Linked DNA regions of Oryzias latipes. The protein of the gene in region 2 interacts with the protein of the main gene of each other region in a biochemical or structural test. Links are inferred from orthologs where the notes say so. Each region holds a gene or a part of one and is shown on either strand. Other genes may lie near its edges.

The links.
Region 1: the proteins of ccnd1 (region 2) and cdk6 form a complex in vitro, tested with the Homo sapiens proteins (3 studies listed by BioGRID and IntAct, with this or other methods). The link is inferred for Oryzias latipes from reciprocal best matches to the Homo sapiens genes CCND1 and CDK6.

The regions. Positions count from the first base shown.
Region 1 is NC_019869.2:9,946,157-9,950,719, reverse strand, and holds part of cdk6 (cyclin-dependent kinase 6), read left to right. Parts: intron 1-3,036; coding exon 3,037-3,204; intron 3,205-4,563. UniProt on the Homo sapiens protein: Serine/threonine-protein kinase involved in the control of the cell cycle and differentiation; promotes G1/S transition. Phosphorylates pRB/RB1 and NPM1.
Region 2 is NC_019861.2:4,924,442-4,931,371, forward strand, and holds the end of ccnd1 (G1/S-specific cyclin-D1), read right to left. Parts: intron 6,667-6,930; coding exon 6,451-6,666; intron 5,907-6,450; coding exon 5,747-5,906; intron 5,020-5,746; coding exon 4,871-5,019; intron 4,763-4,870; coding exon 4,607-4,762; 3' UTR 2,087-4,606; downstream 1-2,086. UniProt on the Homo sapiens protein: Regulatory component of the cyclin D1-CDK4 (DC) complex that phosphorylates and inhibits members of the retinoblastoma (RB) protein family including RB1 and regulates the cell-cycle during G(1)/S transition.

The DNA.
Region 1 (4,563 bases), on a different chromosome or scaffold from region 2:
TTGAAATTGCTTGCACTTTCAATGTCACTTGTCATGTTTCCTTAAAGACCCACTTCCGTTAAAAATGTGTTTTGCGTGTTTTTAACATGTTTTTGTAACATTTTTCTCATGATGGAGGAGATAAAGAAAATTAATACTGAAATAATTTCTGAGTATTTCTATATTTAAATTGTGGTGAATCAGGAGCAAATGAAAAAACGCTGTTTGTAGTTCTTTACTAAAAACTACAAAAAGAGGTCTGCTCCGCTCCATTTCGATACATCTGCATGATCGAAGTGGGACTCTAAAAGCCTAAAACCGACATTGTGCATCCCTACTGATTTGAAGCAATATCCAATTCATCGTGGAACTATTTTTGGCAGCAACTCGTTACCATTAAAATTTTTTAGTGTTGGGGACGCTACAGTATCTGTCTAATGGTTATCCTGTTTCTTGCTTGATGAAAGTTTTAGATTCTATGAAACTGTGTTTAAAAATTATTGTCTAATCATTGGAACAAAATCTCGAGAAAAAAAGAAGGAAGAAGATAGTTAAATTGTCACGGTTTATCTATGTCAGATTTGAAGGGTTAATAGAATTCTTCCCAACTTTAGCCAAGTTTGAGACATGAGGCTTTCAGCACTGTTTAACAGTTGGATAAGCTCCTCTTTCAATCATGATGCCCCATTAGACCACCCCTCCTCCTTAGGCTTTCTCTTAACATCCGACCAGCTGGAGCCTCAAGGGGACAAAAGGACAAGCAGTGACAACACATCATAGGCACCTTTCCCTGTTATTTCTAGGACACACAGTGACCCAAGTGTGACCCCATTATCCCCGAGCAACTGTCTGTGCTCTCAGCTCCACCTTTATGACAGCAGGTCTAACTTAAACCATCGCTCATCTGAAAAAGGCATCAACATTGTCTTCATCCCAAACCCCATAAGAACCATAAAACGATTCACCCTCAGCTAAATTACCTTACCGCCCAAAGACCTGCTGTCCATACTAAAACCAACCAGTGACAGACACCCCACCGTGGCCCATCTGAACCCTTACCCATGATAAATACTTCAACCCTCCACCCTTCACCACCCACTCTGATTCAAGACCCACCACATGGTCATTGATGAAAGAAGCCCCCCTCCAGGGATCAAATGAGCTGGAAGGACATCAAGCAGCCTGCTTGCCCCAGTCTTAGTGCTACTCAGGCGGGCCAGTGCTTGGGTTCCTCCTCCACCACTATTCACCACTATCCTCCATACTTCCACAGCTCCACTCCGTGGGCCCACGAAGGGGGGAGGTTAATGAAGCATGGGGAGGGAATTACACTAACGCTAACCGGCAGATGTCCTATATTGTTCCATACTACAATAAACAATATGGCTGCCTCTGGTACATTAGCATCAAAAAAGGAGCTGAGCTCAGAAAGCCATGTTTTGACTGCCTCTTGTAGTCAGTCTGTTTTCTCCCATTTTTTCAGGGTTAGATATGTTGCCTTTTTGTTTGGTTTTTCTTTTCTCCACAAGTTGTTTAAAGCACCTTTGGAAAAAAAACCTTCCAACTTCAATTTGGAACTTTTGACTCGTGCAAATCATATAGGCAACCTTGTACTCACATACTGTAAATCTTGCCATTTCTATCTATTTATTAGACACTGCCTCAATTGCCTTTGTTGAGCTTAGTTCTGGAAAAATGCTGAAATGTTTATGACTTTTCGTGTTTGTAATTGATGCTATAGAAAAGGCTAAGAAGGCCAAGATTGTTTGTGTCCAAGAGTCACACGTGAGATAATTAGTGTTTACTAGGAAATGCTGTTGAAAGGAAACATGGTGAAATGACTATTTAAAGCTGAGAGGAACTGATGGGTGGAGGAATACTATTGTGTCAGCCCCCCCCATGCTACACACACACAAACACACACAAAAATGGCTAACTGCCTGCCTCTGTCCTATGGCCCTGTGTGTCTGCTGCCATTCTTCATAGGTCATGGCTGAATGGAGATGTAGAAAGGAAGGACTGTTTATGCATCCTGCCTATGGTCAGAGGGCACCCACATGCTTTTGCATGCTTTCACTCAGTGATGCACCCTTACGCAGGGGTACACATGTACGCAAATATACCCGTTTTACTTTATAACCAAATGTACAGAGCGTTTGTGCCACATCGCTCATCATCCCCACAAAACCGTGTGGGGAGTCTTTTCTATGGCTAGCACACAACCAGGCCCCACGCCATTTGCTAATGTTTTCTGCTTGAATTCACAGGCCTCATTGACTCGCACACCAGCTGGTTGGCCACTTAATAGAGCTGTGGACTCTGGTCCTCTTCACTTGTGGGGTCTTGATAGACTGTTTTGGAGCTGTTTGTTTAAGATATGTGTTTCCTTAAAAAAAAACATGTGTCTTTGTAATTTTAGTTACCATTGTTTTTCCTTGCTCTATGTTACCTACCCTACCTAATTCTTACATGCAAAAACATGAACTGGATGCATTAAGTTGCCTGGATGACAGTTGAGGTAACAAACTGCCTTACCACTATCCCTTGAACTATTTGTTTACAGGTGTAAGACCTGTTTGAGTTTCAAAAGAACAAGTCTAAGCTGGTTTGGAAATAGCTTTTTCCTGCTCACAATAGTTTGCTAGTTTGTCGTAGATGCAGTGCTACTTGAAGTCACTGCTGACGGGCCTGAAAAGCAAGCAAGAAACAGTTAACTATAGCAGGACAGCTGCTCGCCAACACAGATCTGTTCTCGCACAAAGCAGGGGCCTAACTCTGCCGCTGTCATTTGTGTGTGTATGTGTGTGTGTGTGTTATAGTCAGTTATCAAACATCTGCCACAGTCGACAAGAAAAGAGATAGGCTTCTTCTTGTTGACTCCCTCAATACTTCAATGTCTTGTTGCATTTGTATGTTGTTACTTTTTGTTTGGTAACTTTCTGTGCAGATGCATTAATTGAAGTTGTTAGTTTTACTGAATCATATTCATCAGGTCAAACACACCAAGTTAAAAAATTCAGTTTGTAATTTCTTTCTTAAAACCTGTTTTTTTTTTAGGATATGATGTACCAGCTGCTCCAGGGACTGGACTTCCTGCACTCGCACCGTGTGGTTCACCGTGACCTGAAGCCCCAAAACATCCTGGTCACTAGCGGAGGACAGATCAAACTGGCGGACTTTGGGCTAGCTCGCATCTACAGCTTCCAGATGGCTCTGACATCTGTGGTGAGTTAGTGCCTATCAAACCCTATTGGCACAGAGTTTAGCCTCTCTGTCTTTGATGGGGAACTATTCCCTGACCCTGATGCCATGTGGAGCTTTGGCCAACTAAGTGTCATGGCACCTGTCCACTAAGCATCTCCTGAAAACCTCCCAGCTTATTCTAGAGCTTTTTCTTTCATTTTCTCATATGTTCTAAAACTGTTTTCCCCATTTTTAACTAATGCACAAAACACATGGCTTGAACTTTTCTCCCTTCTCCTGAGAATTGGATAAAAAGCATCCAGTGTTTTGTCTGGGCACTTACGGGGCATCAGTTGGTATCTCAAGAGGAGTGCGCCAAATGATAGGATTTCTCTGTGTAAAGTGAGAGCCAAGTCCCCCCTTCATGTAGTGTCTCAGGAACCCCTCAGTGGCTGTCACAGAGCGGGATGGAGCAGACAAGAGGAGACAGATAGGCCTCCCCTCACACTGTCGGTACTTTGATGTTCAACTGTTGAGCTCTGGTATCTGATGACTTGATAATATACAGAGGGAGGCAGAAGGGAAACTTGGGAAGAGCTCAAATTAAGAAGCAACGAAACAATAAATGTGGGCAGCACTAGACACTTGGTGCTTTTTTTTTAATGTAAGCCTTTATGATAAGGTCTTTTGATCTTCTTTGCATTCATGCACACACATGCATTCATGCCTTGTAGCACATTAGCAATTTTCCCAGCCTGAACTTGTTCAATTCATTTGATAAAGTTGTAATGGAATGAAAAACGTGTCGAAGCAAAAATGTAAACAATTAAGAAAAATAGTTTTTTTTTAAAAAGCTTTGGTGTTCTAATCCTATTGAATACATACAGGCATGTAGTTATAACATTTCATAGCTTAATGTAAAGCTATCAAAGATAAGATATTCCTTTATTAGTCCCACGATGGGGAAATGTACTTGTTGCAGCAGCAGTACAGGTACAGAGAGCGATATATAAAGAAAAAAAGAAAAACTATGGAGTCAATATATACACAATATACACACATAAATTTCCAAAAAATTGCACAGGATTAACAAGGCTGCCAATAAACCAGCCGTGATAGCGTCATGGTTAGTAGCTCTGGTTTGATCCCACATGTAACAGAAAGATAGAGGAATAGATGAATTTGTAGTGGCTGGTTTGAGGCACACAAACACCATTTTCCAGTCTTTAGAAGAAGAAAAACGAATTTCATGTTGTTGTCTCACCAAATTTAAAAAATAACACAAATATTGTTACTACTGTACCTTATGTAGTTTGGCAGTAAAAGGGAATTGTTAGTCTTTGGAGTTTAATTATTCTATAAACTGATCAGGATGTCTGATATCAGCTAAACCTAAGGTTT
Region 2 (6,930 bases):
TCTGTCTGCCCAGCTGTTGGACAGGACAAGTTTAAAAAACAAAAAAAACAAAAAAGATGAGGTCGGACATGACCTTCCAAAACGGTGGAGAAAAGTAAGTAATAATAATGGTATAATGGCTGATAAATGTTTTAACTCACGTAATCGTATTGGTTATTTAGTTGTTTTGCTAACACACATCTTTAGTGCGTTCTGCATTTTCCGGTTTATTATGTCAGTTTAAAAACTGCTGTCAATCTGTTACAGCAGGTCAGGTAGTCTGACTTTAAAACAATGAGTGTGTCTTAAAATCTTGTATTAACATAAATATGGAGAATAAAAACTGCCAAATACAAATAGGAAATAAATGTTCTCATTTATAAATGAAAAACAAAATAAATGTACTAATTTTAAAATCATGAGCATACAAAATAATAAATAAAGATGTGTATAAATGCTTATATTTCCACTTATACTAAAATTATTGTTCACATTTATTATTTATAAATGGGTAGATTTATTTCTCATTTGTATTTTGCAGTTTTGGTTTTACATAATGATGATGTTTTGCACAGTTCCGTCTCAGCCGACAGTTCCTTCTGCTCTCAAAAAGTAGCAAAAAGTATTGGAGGTGGTGCAGCGTCCACATCCCAAGATGTTCCTGACATCACTGAAGAGATCTCAGGTAATTTTAATAGCATGTAAAGTAATTAAAAAAACAGTGTCTGTACAACCCCTTTTTTCATAAAAAGCAGCTAAAGAGAATGGAGCCCCAAATTGTTTATAATTAAATAAATAAATATGGTCTTGTGCAAATACACAATCAACCAATAAATCTCTCATGAATATATAAAAAGATCATGAAATTGTGAAAAACCTGCACACAGATTTTAAATGAGCCACTAAACTATTAGTGTCAGGTACTGGGGCCAGGGCGGTTTGGTTAGGCTTTTGTTTTTGCACTTCCGGGCTTTCTGGGCTTTATTTTGGCGATTCCGCTGTTCGTGCCGTTCCCGTTCTCGCTGTCTTTACGTTCTGTCATTATTTACACCTGTGGCAAATTACATTGAAACAACTTTAACCATGATCCACATTGGTCTCACTGTTTCCCGGCAATCTATATGTCATAAGCACTTACCTTATACCTTCTTGGATGTTTTCTTACCAGTTACCGCTCTGCAGCATGCTTCCACCAGACCTATAAAGCAAGTATAGTGTTGAGCCTGACTTTGATGCAGGCATTTAAAATTGGTCAACAAAATACAAAGTTTGAATGGTGAGCTATCCTGAGGACAGCAAAGTGCAGGACTTGCATAATTTCTCTTGTTGCTTTGCCCCGCCCTCGTAATTTCTAAACAATGAGTGAAGAGATTTTGATTCAAGTGGTTTTTTGTACTTTTGGTTCGAATCAGGAAAGCCGCTTGATGGCAGTCTGAATACAGACCAAATCCAAGGTTCAGGATTCGATCCGGACCAGATTAGGCAGACTGGGTCCCAAACAAATGCTTTTCCCAGTCTGAATACACCCTGAAACTCTACTTATTGCACCTGAACAGAAAATCCCTTTCATTAAACACTGTGGTTTTTCATGCTTCACCTCCCAACCAAAACTCAGAAACCTCTGTTCTCTTTGACCAGTCTACGTCTCTTGACGCGCAGAAACGTTGGCTGAAAATAGTTCATTTCATCTATGATCAACCTCCAAACTTAGGTCTATTCGGTCTAATGGAGGTCCGTTTTATCACAACCTTTCATTCTAAAACATGCTTAACCCTTGTGCTATCTTAGATGACCCCCCCCTTCCATTGACGTGTTCTCCCTACCATGACAAAGGTGGATAAAGGTGGAAAGATTTCATGTAATCCATGGACACCAGTGAAGATCACAAATCATTGAAGAAAAAAGGTTCAGAGCACTGTCTAGTGGGTCTAGATGACCCAACTCCCAATCTTAAAGTGCCTAGGATAGCACAAGGGTTACATTTGCACTGTTTAAACTCAAGTGAAGCACTGATTCTATTTAATCCAGAAAGTGTCAGTCAAAGATGTGAGCTTGGAGATGAGTGGTTTGGGTGTGTGAAGGTTTCAGGCAACAAATGGTGGCCAGCTTTCCTAGTTCATGTTTTTATTGTGTCGTCAACACAAAAATGAATACATTATCCTGGGTGCAGACAGCTGACATGAAAACAATCGGTTTGGAATGATCCGTGAACACAGCACAAGGATGATCTATGGCTTACCGAGGATGAGACTGAATGTATTTACAAACTCAAATCGACTCACTGGAAGTTTGAAAAATTGGAGCAGGTTTTTTTTTTTCTCTTTATAAATATAAAAAGGGGGAAGGAAGAGAGGCCATTATGGGCCTAATGGGGGGATAAAGTCTCTTTTATCGAGACAGCTTAACACTCAACAGAGTTATACACATCCCATTTTCTGTTATGGCACCAGTTACAACGCACGGCCTGGACACGCTGGTTTCCATCGCAGATGCTTCACCTACAAAAGGTCAAAGCTGGCAAGCACTGAACCAGCGAGCACAATGAAACACGCACACACACACACACACACACACACAACTAAAAATCAGAGATCATGACTGTCACATGAGGTATTGTGAATCAAAGCATTACTGTACATTGTCAATTCGTCCTTGTATTTGGAATAGTTTGGAAAAAAAAAAAAATCACATTAGATAATTACAACCAAAAGATCACATAGTCTACACAGAACAAATGGTGACATCAACAACTTCCTATTAGAAAATTCAGACCTAGAATGGCAGTACATTTATACATATAAAAAATAGCAGCAAACAACAGAAAAAAAAGCATTGTTTTCATTTCATATCTGTTTTTTGTATTTTTATTTTTGTCTTTAAACACAAAGCTCAAATGTATCTTCTATAGCAGCAAAATACAAGGAGTGTTTCTCTCCTACGTTCTATCCTTACTGTAGAATCAGAAACCTACTTTAAAAGGATCCTACACTCAGACTCCGCCTCATTCCTTATAAAGTGAATGTCCATCTGAGCAGAAATGCCTCCTCTTTATGGGACGAAGCCCCAACCACTCTAAAGCAGTTTCTGATGAGCCTTTCTCCTCTTTGTTTCATTTTTGACACTTCAAACTGTTGCCCACTATACTCTCCACCAGTTTTTGAGGCAAGTCCAAGAGAAGCCCCGCCCACGTCCTTAAGGTTTGTGCAAAAATCATCTCATATTCTCATCGCTCCCCTTTCTTCAACTTGATCCATTTTTCATAATCCATGAGCAGTATTTGAAGTGAGGAGGAGTATGGAGGGATGCCGTCCTGGTGGTTCAGGTCAACTCAAGCTTACGGTTTTACAGCATTTCATTGGCAAACATCTGCACAAGTGGGCGGAGCCACAATTGAAAGTTGTAAAAATAAATAGGTTTTACGATATGGAATATAAAGCATTACTTTAGCTATAAAAATAATCCTTTTACCTCCTCAGATTTAGCCTTTGGCTCTACATGCTTGCAGTTGTAGTGAACCTGTGAAAAGCTCAGGGCGGCTCTGCCTGAACTAACACTGCACAAGTGAAACTAGCAGGACAGGAAGGCTGCTATGACGGGCCTTTCCCAGACATAAAAACAAGTCTATCTGCAACACTGGTCAATTCTTTGTCCCATCTGATGAATCTGAACCAGCTGCTCGACCACTGCATCACCAACCTCGGGTTCCATTGCAAACTCTACCACCACGATTTTTCTTTCAGTTGAGCCAGCACGGCTGACCAAAAGTGCTTCTTTCTTGAAAACAATACATTGGAATGGTATTAGATCTAACTACACAAAAGAAGAAACCATCAGAGTCTGGACAGCTCTGCTCGCATTAGCACTGACTTGATTTGATCAATTGCTGCAAGCGGAAACGGGTCAAATGAATCATCAAGAAAGACTAGCGTTTGTCCACACCAGCAGCAGACAAAAACACAACTTCACTCACAGACGGGTTTTAAAAACTACCCAAAAGCTTAGAACAAAAGAGGTATAAGGCTAAATAATATAATAAAGTGACTAAACATAAACAAGCATGGGGTAAATGGATGCCTGAACTACAAGACAAACACGGGGACTTAGAAAAAGCCTAACTCATTCTAAACAAAAGAAACTGGTTCAAAACAGCATCTTTGCTTTGATAAATGTTGGGTTTCAGGTGGACAGACTGTGAAGGCCTACTGAACACCACACTTTGGGATCCTTAAGTAGTCATCATCAGTCCACAGCAATTTAAAAGATTCCTAGTTTGAAATGGAGGATAAGAACCAAAAGAATCAGTTTGTGTGGCTCTGACTCCTGCCCACACGGGTCACCGGTGCGCGTTTCTCACTTGTCCATGTCTAGTGTTCTGGTCTATGTCCAGGATTGGAGGGGACACTGGCAAGGAATGTGGTGGGAGGTGCGCTGCATGGCAAGAAGGGTGCGCCACCTTGCCTTGGCAGTCGTGGTGGACAAGTGAGTGACATCCGTTGAAGCAGCTGCGCACCAGGCAACCGAGGAAGAGAGGAGGGGAGGCAGTAATCAGGCCCCCCCTTCTTTGCTTGCCCATCTTCTAACAACAGAGTTCTCCCAACACTGGGATTAGGACATGCTGGTGACCATCTCAAATGTTGATGTCCCGCACGTCTGTTGGCGTGCAGGACAGGTCCACCTCTTCATCCACACGCTTGGCTTCCGTCACGCTGCCATGCTGCTGCGCCTGCCGCAGGCTGGACTCCAGCAGAGACTCAATCTGCTCCTGACACGACCGCAAACAGTCCTGCAAACAAACAACTGGTCAGAAAAAAACGTGCTGCCACTGCGCAACAGCAAAGACACGAGCCCTCTTCAGGGTTAGAGGTTAGACAGTGCGAGGGGTTTTCCATACCGGGTCACTGCGGATGACCTGAGACAGGAAGTTAGTCAGGTTCTGAGAGGACAAGGAGGCATCTTGGCTTTTCAAGTAGAGTCCTTGAACAGCTGCCACCACACTGCCGGCTGCCACCATTGATGGAGGACTGGCTATAAAGTTCACATCTGTAGAGGCAGAAGAACGTTCACATTTGGTTCGGGTATCTGCAAGCCGTTTTCCGTCACATCGTATGTTTGCACGTTTGTTTCTGTTCTTTCAGCATCACCATCCTATGCTGTGGGTTCGAATACCAAAGACCTGACCGGAACAGCAAGTTAACCGTGACGCAAAAACTGCTGACCACTACAGGGAGGAGGAGTTCCTCCAGTTTGATCAATGTATTTTCTAAGCTGACTCAAATCAATTTGGTTTGCAGCCACATTGTCAGGACTCTGAAAGGAAGCCGTCCATCCGTTCTACCATTTATCAGGACTTGGGTAATGGTTTGATTTGAAATATTTTTGGAATATTGTATTACTTATGAGACAGACATATATATAGAGGTCAAAGTTTCATAAGTTACATTAATAATAAACAGAAAACGACCATGCCTGATTGCCTTTAAAAACTTTTGAAAAAGCCCAGACCCCAGTTGTTAAAGCGTGGAAACTGTGAATGAAATGCGACTGATGTGTTTGTGTGAGGTCAGGTTTGACTGACTGGGGCTTGCTGACCAAAAGATGACTTCCTAAATAGCTCACTGGTACTTCCCACCGCTGTTTGACGGCATGGTGGTTTGCAACTATTAGGGCTAATTCAATCTTAACCAGTTAAATATCTATAAATGTGATTGGTGTTTTAATAAACTGCAACAACCCAGAAACCAATAGACATGTAACAAAGAGCTAGTACCTGTAGCGCAGAGAGCCACAAAGGTCTGGGCGTGTTTCCTGAGGATCTGCTTTGTCGATGCGTGGATTGTCAGCTTGGACAGGAAGTGCTCGATGAAGTCATGAGGTGTGACAGAAGCCAGATCCCATTTCAGCTTGCTGAGAACCAGCAGCTCCATTTGCTGTGGAAGGACCAGAGAAGACGCAATGCTTCATTTTGTGGTTGACAAACATTTGTTTTTCTTTATGTAATTTTCCATCAAATGCCATCAATGATAGTTTCTAAATTGACAGGGCTGACCCAGCAGTCAATATTGAATCCTTCTTATGCATAAATAGGCTGTAATGTTCTACCTAAACAAAGTGAATGACAGAACAAGACATTTTCTTTTTTTCTAGCATACATCTTTCTACTGTCTGCACATCTGTCTGACGGCCACTAGGTGTCACTGCAAATTAGCAGACGCCACCAAAGACCATTGATGAAATCAGAGGCCTTCCAGTCTCCATGGGAAAGTGCAGGCAGTCATTCAAACGCTGCAGCAGACTTCCATGCACATTTCAACCACAACGTACATCAGTAGCATGACTGCATGCTTGACATGTTGCAGCCTCGGCGCACCAGCAACCCAGACCGAGCCCTGCCTCCAGCCAACGCGGCCTTCAGGCATTCTGGTCATGTTCTCCCATTGTTACGCAACATCATGTCTGCAAGAACTTAATTACCAGCAGTTCTCCAGGTTGGACCGAGTTGTCTGTGTAGATACAGAGTTTCTCTGCAGTCAATGGTACCGTCTCCTTCATCTTAGATGCCAGAAACATGCATGTAGCTCCAAGCAGCTGGAGTCTGCTTTTCCTGGTGGGCTCCACTGATAAAAATCTGTCCAAATAGTTCATTGCCAACGGAAAAACCTCCTCCTCGCATTTCTGTTCCTCACAGACCTAAAAGAAAAAGAAAATAAAGTGTTTTAGAGGCCGACACTGGCATGGAGACATTTCTTTCTGTTCAAATGGAACAATGATTTCACTTTCTGTAAGCAGTCTGTCTTCCATCCTGCACACTATGATCCTCTCCAACTAATTTAGAAAAACTAAAGCATCTTTCATTTTTCGGCTTTTAAAATACGTGGAAAAAAATTGTTAAAACCTACAGACCAACTCTCAAGAAAAGGCTGGAAAAGCAGGTGAAAGCTGCAGCGGGAATGA